Bombyx mori: one gene and its partner. The protein of the gene in region 1 interacts with the protein of each later gene in a pairwise test. Links are inferred from orthologs where the notes say so. Each region holds a gene or a part of one and is shown on either strand. Other genes may lie near its edges.

Region 1 (6,544 bases):
ATTATTCGAAGGCTACGGACCAGATGAAATTTTTAACGCAGATGAAACTGGACTTTTTTACAATATGACACCAGACAAGACTTTAAAGTTCAAAGGAGAGAATTGTTTGGGAGGAAAAATGTCTAAAACGAGATTAACGATCATGGTTGCAGCAAATATGACAGGATCCTGTAAAAGAAAGCTTTTAGTTATTGGCAAATCTAAGAAACCAAGATGCTTTAACATACACTCACTGCCGGTAACGTATGAAAACAATGTGAAGTCATGGATGACATCGGACATTTTTGAGAGATGGTTAAGAAACTGGGACGCTGAATTGAAGGGAAACAAACAGAAAGTTCTACTTTTGGTTGATAACTGTCCTGCTCATTCAGCTGTTACTAATCTAAAATGCATTAAACTTGTGTTCTTACCACCAAATGTTACATCTGTATTGCAACAAGGTGTAATAAGGTGTTTAAAATCTCACTATAGAAGACTGCAAGTGTTAAAGTTATTACAAAACCTTGACAGTAGCGACCAAAAAAGCTTTACGGTTCTTGATGCCATCTTGATGATATCAGAAGCATGGGAAAACGTTTCACAAAACACTATAGCTAACTGCTTTAAGCATGCTGGTTTTAAAGACCTCTTAACAATAACCTCAGATGATGTGACTGATGATGATGGAGAGGACAATATTTCTGTTGCTCAATTAGCCCAAAATTTACGACCTGCTTTATCTATTACTGAAGCAGCAGAGTTCATTGATGTAGATAACTCTATTGCAATTTGCGCACGAGCTACAGAAGATGATATTATACGAAATGTTAAAGAAGAAGATGACGAACAGGAAGACTCTGAAGAACAATTTACTGTACCAACTTTGAATGATGGTATCAATGCTGTTAGTGTATTAAGAAAGATTGTTCTTTTTAATGAACACATCCACAGCAATTATGACGATACGTTAATTAAAATCCAACGTGAATTACAAAATATCTATGCACAGCAGAAGTGTTCCAAACAGACCAAAATTGCAGATTTTATGCTCACAGAAAAATAGCATTGTACTTATGTACATAGTTGAATAAATATATTTTTCCAATAATTCCCTATCAATTTGTTTGTACTTGCACGATACACATTAAACATCACCAGTTGTTATGACTATCGGTTTTTACGACTGAATATAAGCAGTCCCTTCGACGTCGTTATAACAAATTTTGACTGTAATTACTAGTTTTTTTTTTACATATTATATATTGGGTGTAAGAGCTCAGAGACCACTTGGAGGCATGAAGCCTTCATTAGAGTCTATTCAAAAATAAATATAAGGAAAAAGGCACTTAGAAATACCTGACTTTAAAGTTTTTAAGTCAGGTATTCTAAGTGCCTTTTCAGCCTTGCCTTAGAAATTATTTATTTGTTTTTATTTATTTCATTTCCATTCCATATGACTTTGACAAATTTAGTGCTTTCCTTAGGACACAAATTTCCAAGATATCACAGTAGTTATTGAATTTTTCAGTTGCTACTTATGTTATTTGGTTTTAATACACGACGTCCTCGGATGTAAATAGGAACTACAATTTGCATTTTAAGGATTTCAAGTTTGATTCTCTTGATAAGATCGTTCTTAGAGCAATATGCAAATGTTGGCGAATAATACATAAGCCGTTTGTGATCACTAAAAGTCGGAAATAATAAAATGAAAACTTTAAACGAGATTTAAAAAAAAAAATTTTAATTAAAGGCCTACGGCTCTCGGAATTGAAGAACATCCGTTGAGAAATCTTTGGAAATTCAAACCTCAAGCCTAAGGAAGAGATATTGAATAGATTCACCTCGAGAGTGTAAAAATGGAATCTTACATTTTAAAGGTATCTTGTCAGTCGCCTTTTTGATAGACGACATCGTTTTCTTAACAGACGCAGGCGAAGCGCGTCCTTTAGTCTGATTAGTCTTCCCTACAATTCGTTGCACTTTAGGCGTAGGTTTGGGGACATCTCGAGGAGCCATCCTTACGTTTTTTGCTCCCAAGTTTTCTATTGTATATGAGAAGTATTTTAGCAAAAAAATCACAAAACAATTCGCAACAGAAAGTTTTCAAATTTAAACACACAAACTTCAAAATATATTTTTTTGGTTGATTCGTTATTATAGGCAAAGATATATTTGACTATACAACCAAATATTTTGTTATGAAAGGCTGGCTGTTGTCAGAAAACTCAAAAGGAGCGATGGGATATATTAAAAGAATTAAAAGAGAATTAAAAGAAGTGAGATAAGGGCAATAACATGAGATAACGTAATAAGAAGAAGAGGAAGGCTGCGTGGATGTTCCACCATGGATCTTCTGAACTACCATAGGAAATAATACAGTACCCGTGGTTCTTTTCTATATTTAGTGCATTACCCGTGTATGCTCATAAGTAATATAATTAAAATGAATATAAGTACTTTTCCCTACCAATGCTGATAGCTTTGAGAGGCTATTTCAGCTTCGCCTTGACGTGGTGAGCTCACAGGGTTCAAACCGGTTCAAACTGTTGCTAACACTGGCCCTAGCAAGAGCAGTGCTTTGCAAAATCTACCACCAAATCAGAAACGCGACCCATTGAGAAGATCCGGCGAGAAACTCAGTGGACTAGTAAGTACTGAGTACTTCGCTTAAAGGTCTTGTTACCAGGCCAGTCATAAAATATTCAAAAAACGCAGTACATAGCAGTACGTATGATAAAGATTACCTTGCATAAATTTTAATAATAAAAGCTAATTTGGCTTAAAAGACTTTGTTTCCAAGCCAGAAAAAATTATTTAAAAAAATGGGGAAATATTATCAAACGTACATACCTATATGTATGTATAGTATACAATGTATACATATGTTCATTATTGTATATACAGAAATAAAATATATAAGCTTTAATGTTTATTCTAAAACTGCATTTATAAGACGGAGTATTAGTAAAGTAGGAAATAGTATAAATAAACATAATTGTTCTCATTCTCATAAGGTCTTATCGACGTCAGTCCTCGCAGCTGAAATGTTGTGTTTCTAAATAGTTATTCTCTTTGGTAAATTAGAATTGCAGACGAACCAATAAACCGCAAATATATTTTATTAAGGAGATTAGCTTTAAACGAATCACTTTTATACCTATTGAACAAAGTACATAATATGGAGGAAGCCAAAGCGGTTAAAGAAAATCCTCTGGACATCGACAGCAGTAGTTTCAGCCCAGACGTCTACTTAGATTGTCTTCTAAAATGCGCTACCCTAAAGCAAGTAATGGACAAAGAAGCGGAAATTGTAACTCAAAGTCAATTTCTACAATCAGAAATGCAGACATTGGTTTATGAAAATTATAATAAATTTATTTCGGCGACCGAAACTGTACGCAAAATGCGTTCCGATTTTAAAATAATGCAAGAAGAAATGAATAAACTTAGCGAGAATATCAATAAAATAACTACATTCAGCTCTCAAATATCTGAAAATCTCCAAGGCAGCGGTAATAATGTTCGACGTTTGTGTGGTACAAGACAGCTGTTAGATAAACTTCAGTTCCTTTTCCTTCTACCTTCTCAACTTAACAAAGCAATAGCAGAAGGCAGATACAGTGATGCTGTACAAGACTATTCACATGCTCAGCGAGTACTCCAAAAATATGGCAATCAGCCTTCATTCCAAAGCATACAGACTGAGTGTTCAGAAATTATATTTGAACTGAAGAAGACACTCCGTGAAAGACTTATCAGTCCTAATACATCTGCAACTGAACTTGCTGAAAGTGTAGCCCTTTTAAGGCAGCTCCAAGAAAGTGATTCATCCTTACAAGATATATTCCTTAGTTGTGCAGAGAGTCGTCTTGACAAACACTTGCAGATGCTCAGTTCTATAGCTGAACATACAGACATTTTGGACTGGGTAGAAAAATGCAATAATACATTGTTGGCTGATTTAGCTATTATAATATCATGTTACAATGAAATGTTCGAACAGGAAGCTATCATACCCGAATTTGCTGATAAAATAATGATTCAAATTTTTCATTTATTCGAAGAGGTCATTAAAAGACCTGAGAACAACGGAACTGAAATGTTAATAAGGGGCCTTGATAAATTCTTCAGAAAACTCCAGGCTATGACCGAAATATCATCAAGTGATATGATGTCCAGTAAAGGCACTGAGGTTGTCATTCAGTGTATAAATCACAAGGCTATGGTACAGTACCAGAGCATACAGACTCAATTTAAAGACAGTCTTATGAAAGTAAGGCAGTCTTTGGCCAGTAAAGGATCAGAAACAATTGACTTAAAAGATATACTGAACTCCCTTCAAGTATATCTGATGCAAAAAATCCAAGCCTCACTCTTAGATCTAATGGCATTCTTACAAAATAATTTATCATTTGGATTAAAACCTTGGTGTGCAAAAGCAGTAGCTGATGCTTGCTCAAAAGTCATAAATGAAACTATGGCTAATCTTTCTGATCTGGTAAAAAAGATGGCTTGCCTTCAGACTTCAAATAACAACATTCCTTTTGAATTGCTACTTATACTAGCTAAGCTATGTTTGGATATGCAAGAGACTGGTGTCTCGACATTACAGAACCATCTTCTCAAACTCTTAGAAGAGGCTGCTCCTGGCCTCACTGTGGATAACAAGGATACTAGTAGTGTCATGGTCCACTTATCTACTGCAGCGCAGACTGCACTAGATTCAGAAGTTGTATTTATTGGCCAGACTGCAGCCCAAATGTTGAGAGTATCTGTATTAGCTAGAGATTGGTTGCGAGCTCCAGAACCAAGGGGGCCAAGAGCAGTATGCAGAAGAGTAGTGGAGACCTTAGCTAGTGCTGATGGTGCTGCATCTCAACTGTTTCCAACTAGTATTAAACCTTCTAGTGACTCCAGTCGGCGTACTATTTGGTCACGTGCTCCTTCTTCTTTTTCACCTCTTAATAGGATATTCTCTGAAAGAATTGAAGTGTTTAGTCCTGCAGGGGCAGACAGAGCTGCACTATCAAATGGTGCCCTAAAAGTAGCTTTGAAAGCATTAGTTGAATGTGTGCGCCTACGCACATTTGGAAGGCATGGCCTACAGCAATTACAAGTTGATGTTCACTTTCTACAGCAAAGGCTTTCATGTATGGGCAATGATGAGAGGCTTCTAAATGCTTTGCTTGAAGATGCTTTAGCATCAGCACAGTTGAGATGCGTTGACCCACAACTAATGGAACCTAGTATTGTAGATATTATTTGTGAAAGAGGTTGAAGGAGAAGAACATGATGCTTGTATTGATAAAACTGGCTTAATTATCATATGATTCAAATTTAGATTAGTCTAGGGACTTAAATACCAATCTTAAATCTATACTATCTATACTAATATTATAAAGAGGAAAGATTTGTTTGTTTGTTTCTTTCGAATAGGCTCCGAAACTACTGGACCGATTTGAAAAATTCTTTTTCCATTAGAAGCCGACATTGTCCCTGATGAACATAGGCTACTTTTTTTTTTTTTTTTTGGTTTCATGTGTGTTTTAATGTTTCCGAAGCGAAGCGAGGGCGGGTCGCTAGTATTAAATAAACAAACAATTATTTATACTTTTAGTAGTTTTATTTATAACCCATTAATCAAAATTGCATCATATTAAAAATAATATCATCTACATTTATAAAATTTCATGTTAAATGCTTCTAAAACATAAATCTCACAAGACTGCTACTCTGTTTTTTGCATTTTTGTTAGTCACGTAGATAAACATCATTAAAATTAAAAACATTTTAATATACTATTCAAAACAGACATTATTTATATATTTTGGTCCTAGTTCACTAAAAAAATTATGATGATCATCGCATTTAGATTAGTTCATCGTAGTGGTAAATGATCAAGGTTGATGTATTAATTAAGAAAAAAAAAGATAAGTAGGTAATGATAGTTATTGGCAACAACAGATATTTCATCCTTAATCTTGAATCTATAAACAGGTGACGTATTGAAGATATAATGATTTGAAGTTAAAATCATGTTGATGTTAATTGATGGATACAACTAGACCGTGAAATTTACTATTGCAATAGATTCACTATTTCCTAATGAATTGGATCAGAAAGTCTCAGTGGATAGTAAATAATATTTAATCTGTTTACATATAGAGTGTAAGAATCCCGATTTAGAAAAGGAAACTTTAGCACACGAAAAATATGCATAATTTAAGGATATTAATTAGCGGGCACTGCCCCTGTACTTCATTATAATACGCTAGTGTAAAAATAATTATGGTACAATTTTGCTCAGCTATATGTAAATACTTGTAGTTTCTGTATGCGAATTCTAGTATGTTCCGTCTAGTATATTCTAGTAAATCCTGCATGTACTAGAACAAGTTCTGCACATGATCACGATATTGTGGCCTTAGCTAATTTTATATCCACACTTCTTATTCAGGAATCATCAGTCACCACCTGTCTTTGTTGTCGGGAGCCTTACACCCGGTACGGCTATATTAAAAACAAATTTCGTAGCATACGACTTCTGAAAAAATAAGCT
Region 2 (6,035 bases), on another chromosome or scaffold:
ATGAATATAGTCGAGAATTTCGATTGTCGAGTGCTGAAGCGGGTACGACTCCGTTCAATACGACATTATCAGTGACATCTTCAATATTGTTGGTACGGCGCGTTGGACAGTTTTTGGAGTTCAGATCTTTACCTTGTTCTTTGGTAATAAAACTAAGGGAAAAGAATATGCGTTTACCCGCAAAGCGAGTTATGGTGTTGTATTTCCATTGCGTATTTGTAAATTGACGTCATTGTTCAGTATACTTTTACTGGTGGTAAAACCTCTTGTGAGTCCGCACGGGTAGGTACCACCACCCTACCTATTTCTGCCGTAAAGCAGTAATACGGTTCGGTTTGAAGGTTGGGGCAGCCGTTGTAACTATACTGAGACCTTAGAACTCATATCTCATAGTGGGTGTCACATCTATGGGCTCCGATAACCGCTTAACACCAGGTCGGCCGTGAGCTCGTCCATTCACCTAAGCAATAAAAAATAGTACATCCCCTAAACAGGTTTTAGGTCTGTTTTCGTAAGTAGTACTACTTACTAGTACAATAGTGTTAATTGTGATAGAGTCTAACGACCAGTGTGCTGGAATGGGATCGTTTGCCTACGTTTGCCGCTAGGGGCGCTGTTCCAACTGCATACAAAATTGGGTTAACTTTTACGCTATCGAGAACGTTAAAAAACTTGCACTAAGCACACAGTTGTCCTCACAGGGCTTGCAGCGCACCGGGCTGCTGGAGATCCTGTGCCTGGCGGAGCCGGACTGCGAGGCCAACTACCGGGATATGCTGCAGGAGCACAAGAGCGCCTACCTGCAGAGGTACCCGCCGCGGCCCAGGGACACGATAACCTCACCCTAGCCAATCATTCCTAATATTCGTTATCGCGCTGTAAACGGCCCCGTTTGAGTCGCGAGCTTGTATGACCCCTCAGGTCGATACGTAGGATGGCTTCGTGGTAGACATGCCAAAGGATGGTGTCGATAAGTAGACGAAAATTGATATTAGAGAAATATGAGGTAGAGAAAGAGAGAGCTATACTTTCCGTCTTCACGGAAGTGGAATAAAAGAAAATGATATCTACAACAATCTTCGGTAAAAAGACGATAATTTAACCTAGTAAAAGCCGTGTATCGACAGCCCACTGACACTGTCAGCTTTCGTACGATCACAGTCTAGCGAACTAAGAGTACTATAGTTCTGTTTCTGTTGTAAGTCATACTAGAAACTTCGACCTCATGTCTCAAAGTACAATTACTTTGAGGTCATAGTCCCACTTGCCATTAAAAGTGCACGCTTCTTTGGCCCTAAGATCACTTGCTTATTGTCGGATGACCTGTCTGCTCGTGTAAATAGAATGAAGTAACGCCTTTATACATCATTGGAATTACCAGGCTGACATAAACGCAAGGAGCTTTCTTGCAATTAGTTCTTCCAGTCAACTATTTAACAAGTTAACTATTCTTTTTTTTATGGGATTTTATGACCTGGTAACTAAGACCTTTAAGTCATTTCTTATTTTCATTTACATTCTTATTTTTATGAAAAATGATAATATGAAGTGAAATGAAATGAAATGAAGATGATTAATTTGAGACATTAATCAAATGAGATTAAATTAAATGAAACGAGATGAAATACCATCTCAGTAAAATAGTGGTCATTTACTGAGATTTTTTCAGTGGACTTTTTGGAGGAACCCGAGAAGTTTCGTCCGGCGGCTTTGTTTCATTTTCCCACATTTGTGCACTTTCACAGATATTAAACAGTTAATAAACCACCGTTATTACACATTTATACCCGAAGAAACACTAAATAGACAAAATAAATCACACAACTTCACTCCTTGCGTTCCCGCCAAAAAGTCAGTTAACTATTCTAATATTAGGATAGAAAAGGATATACCTCCAGTAGACACTGTAGACGGGCCAAGGTCATGGTGGCCATAGACACAAGAAAGGGAATGTCACCCACTCGCCTATAGACATGATGCGGTTGTCCTATCACGCGTCCGTTGTTGAGCTATGAAGGAGTCGGAGGTGGTCTCCCGGTCATAGTTCTCGTCGAACCCGTCGCTTGCGACGAAGGGCTCGACGAGTAAATTAACCCACAGTCACAGCCCACTGAGTTTCTCGCAAGATCTTCTCAGAGGGTCGCGTTTCCGCGAACCGGTGGTAGGTTCTGTGGAGTACGGCTCTTGTTAAGGCTCGTGTTAGCAATGCCATCAGGTTTGAACTCCGTGAGCTCACCTACTAGTTAAGGCTACGCTGATATAGTCTCTCAAGGCTCTCAGCTCAGGTAGAAAAAAAAAGGCGGTCTCTCTCGAACAATGCGTGTTGGCCAGCAGCTGGAACAAGTTGCTGTCCTACGTGCAGCTGGACGAGCCCCTCCCCGCCAAACTCAGGGACAGGGACCGGCAAATGCTCAAAGACAAATTTTCGGTAAGTAGCTCTGAGGTTTTTTTTTGCTTAGATGGTGGACGAGCTCACAGCCCACCCGGTGTTAAATGGTTACTGGAGCTCATGGACATCTACAACATAAATGCGCCACCCACCTTGAGATATAAGTTCTAAGATCTCAGTATAGTTCCAAAGGCGGCCCCACCCTTCAAACCGAAACGCATTACTGCTTCACGACAGAAATAGGCAGGGTGGTGGTACCTACCCGTGCGGACTCACAAGAGATCCTACCATCAGTAATCGAAGCGAAGCTATCTAGTGGCCGACGCCCGTAAACATGTTTGTTGAGCGTTTGAATAGCTTATCTATATTGTCTACGAGCAGTGTTTCAACCGCGAGTGGGAGGAGTGCACGCGGCTGCAGCGCGGGTACAGCGTGCCCGACGCCGAGCTGCGGGAGGCCCTGAAGCGCGACAACAAGCAGGCGCTGCTGCCGCCCTACACGGCCTTCTACGACGCCGCCGCCGCGCTGCCCTTCTCCAAGAACCCCGACAAGTACGTCAAGTACACGCCGCTGCAGGTACGTCACCTCCTATTTTTTTTTTCGGGCCGGGGACTCAAATATTTACTGGTGGTAGGACCTATTGTGGGTCCGTGCGGGTAGGTAGCACCACCCGGCCTATTTCTGTAACATCTCGTCACCGCGATTCAGGAATTGTTGAATTTACGTGCAGCGACATCTGTTGATAACTTACTGTTGTATTCCAGATCGCCACCCAGCTGGACGGGTACTTCGATGAGGCTGCTTAGTGTTGTACATGTGTTCCATCATGTTATATCAATACTACTATTACACTACGTATTATTATTACCACGTATTACTGTTCATCACTTACTATACGTGTCGGCTGTAGATCCTCAGACGGGTATATTCGTATATTCGTTGAAAACTGTGTCTCCAATATTCCGACGGCCCACGCAATCATTAATTAAACGTGGTTTTGATTAAATTAATAAACTAATGTAATTTTAGGTACAATAAATTAATTAAATTTTAATTAAAAAATTAAGATTACAACACGATACAAATTTGAATTAACTTTTACGTGATCGAGAAGTTAAAAAACTCGCACTAAGCGTATTCTAACTGTATTCGGATCCGAAGGGAGCGACAGCCGTTACACACAAACAGTTGAGACTCAGACCTCACGCCTCAAGGGGGCGGCCGACGCCGATGAGCTTCGACAACCACCCGCTCGCGACCTGCATACATTCAACTAAGTCATTTACTTGATCGACTTAGTTTTTCCTCGTGGTTGCAGATAAATCATTACATTTTCAGCGGTAGGCAGCGGCTTGGCTCTGCCCCTGGCATTGCTGAAGTCCATGGGCGACGGAAACCACTCACCATCAGGTGGGCCGTGTGCTCGTCTGCCTACAAGGGCAATAAAAAAAATCATAATATTCACTGTATAAAAACTGAAATCAAAATTGTAAGAGAAAATAAATTTCATCAGTCCGAGGGAATCTAGAATTCTTAAGGAGCATACATGCAGACGGTTACGTTTCCTGTATCACCTGTTAATTTAATTTTGATAATTGAAAACCAAGCGGTGTATAAACAATCATTCGTTTATTCATTATAATACAACACTTCAACATGTCAATTTTATATAATTTTTTTTTTATTGAAATAAATAACTAATAATCAGTTTTTGGCGTTTTCTTTTTCCTTTGAGACCTATTCCTTTTTTTCTTCGGCCACTGTAACAAAGATCTTTAGTAAGTCTCACGAAATATATACATAAGAAACGTTAATAACTAAGTAATATTTGTCAATTTAAAAAAAATGTCCTTGGATTAGTTGACATATGACATCATAGGTCAGGTTAAGGCTGCCTAGTATATTCTTGTCTGGACGGTGCTACCATTATGCCGCATCAATCCATACTTGTAGTATGAACATCTAAATGAGACGGCGATAGTGAGGTCCTTGTGCACGGATTGTCTTCTTGTGAAGCTATTCGACTCATTCCATATATCTGTTCCGATGCGACACTAACTGTGACGTCATTGTCAATATAACATATAGAGGGATGAATTGCTATTGGGTTTAAGGGACATTTTTGCAACTTGACAGGAGCGCCATTTTATGTTTAAATTTAGGAAATTAACAATGTTACGTCGGTAAGAGTAACGCTATCTATCGCCGAATAGCAGAAAGGATTACCATAGGAACTAGTAACACCGAGAACGCTCGAGAAGTACAACGCCATCTATTGTTAGATAGCGGAAACACACATTAAAGCTACTCGACTTCCCCAGAATATTCTCGATAAATCTAGGGATGTCGTATCGACTATGAAAGCGTTGCAGAGATGACACGAAGGCAGTTAGTAATCTTAACTACTCGAAGCGAAACAGCGAACGGATCACCTGAAGCGAAGCGGAAGAAGTGAACTACGACTTGTAAAGTGTTCTGTGAGTGATCTAAGTGTTAAATAGATTTTTAATTTGTACGTCGGTAGAGTTTTTATTTATCTCGAACCCCAACGCGTAAGAATCAAAAATACTTCTTCAGCTATTTGATTGGAGTTAGCTTAGTTGAGTTTCAATTAATAACATCGAACTGTTAATGCTAATAATACCGAATAAAACGCACCTTTCATTACAGAGATAAATGTCGCGTATTAAGTAAAATGTCGCTTAACCAATTAGCCTTTCACCCCTCGATATGCATTTACATAACACGGCCGTCTTATTACAGAGGGTACTTAGTCGTGATTCACTTGAAGATGTTAGTATGGATAACGAAAGTTAGTAGAAGCAATGAAAGTCAAGCAAACTATTGAAATTACTTGTCCATTAGGAATTTTAATAATGTTTACTGTATGCATTATATTGCTATGTTACATATTAATATTACATATGCTACATATATATTTTAATGTCTACTTTTTTGAACTACCTTAACTGACTAAACCCATTTGCACGGCCGCGAAGAATGCATTAAAATACCGGTCTTCATTAGACTTCAGAATTTCAAGTGAAAGTTCAGGTACGTAGGACTTCAACGATGCAAAATGAACATATAATTGGTTTTAATATAATTACGAACTAGTTAAGCTCGTCCTCGCTTAGGTACAGTTTTGTCTGAATATAGACAATTTACAATTTGATTACAATTTGACAATTTGTTCTTTTACGCGGTACCCTCCTTTTTTTTTTAAATAACAGCCTAAGTTACTTCTTATAATATCAGTTATCTGCCAGTTACACTCTTCAAAATCGGACTAACGATAGCGGAGATTAACCGAAACAAACAGACATTTATTACTACCTTTTTTACTTTCCTATAAAAATGTATTTAGTAAAAAGTTGGTAGGTAGTTCGATTTTATAAAACACGATTCAGTTTTATTTATTTGTATTTGCCTGAAACTTTTCAAATAATTCTTTAAAAAAACTAACCTAAAGGTCCAGAGTCTAGCCAAAAATATTTACGTATAGATTCGTCTCGGTTAGATTTTTGTAAAAATCAGAATCAAGGATTCGATATCAAAAAACATTTACCTACTTCACTAAACAATATCATGCTATGATAATCAAGTTAAATTAAAGTTAATGTTAATTTAAATATAAATAAACATA

The links.
Region 2: the proteins of vacuolar protein sorting-associated protein 51 homolog (region 1) and exocyst complex component 7 interact in a two-hybrid assay, tested with the Drosophila melanogaster proteins (2 studies listed by BioGRID). The link is inferred for Bombyx mori from reciprocal best matches to the Drosophila melanogaster genes Vps51 and Exo70.

The regions. Positions count from the first base shown.
Region 1 is NC_085115.1:1,407,607-1,414,150, reverse strand, and holds vacuolar protein sorting-associated protein 51 homolog, read left to right. Parts: upstream 1-2,793; 5' UTR 2,794-3,163; coding exon 3,164-5,263; 3' UTR 5,264-5,595; downstream 5,596-6,544. Other genes in the region: uncharacterized protein LOC101737848, read right to left, coding at 1,827-2,001. UniProt on the Drosophila melanogaster protein: May act as a component of the GARP complex that is involved in retrograde transport from early and late endosomes to the trans-Golgi network (TGN).
Region 2 is NC_085119.1:1,167,815-1,173,849, forward strand, and holds the end of exocyst complex component 7, read left to right. Parts: intron 1-701; coding exon 702-808; intron 809-2,331; coding exon 2,332-2,428; intron 2,429-2,770; coding exon 2,771-2,965; intron 2,966-3,153; coding exon 3,154-3,195; 3' UTR 3,196-4,086; downstream 4,087-6,035. Other genes in the region: uncharacterized protein LOC101741349, read right to left, coding at 4,087-4,149. UniProt on the Drosophila melanogaster protein: Required for exocytosis. Thought to function in intracellular vesicle targeting and docking before SNARE complex formation.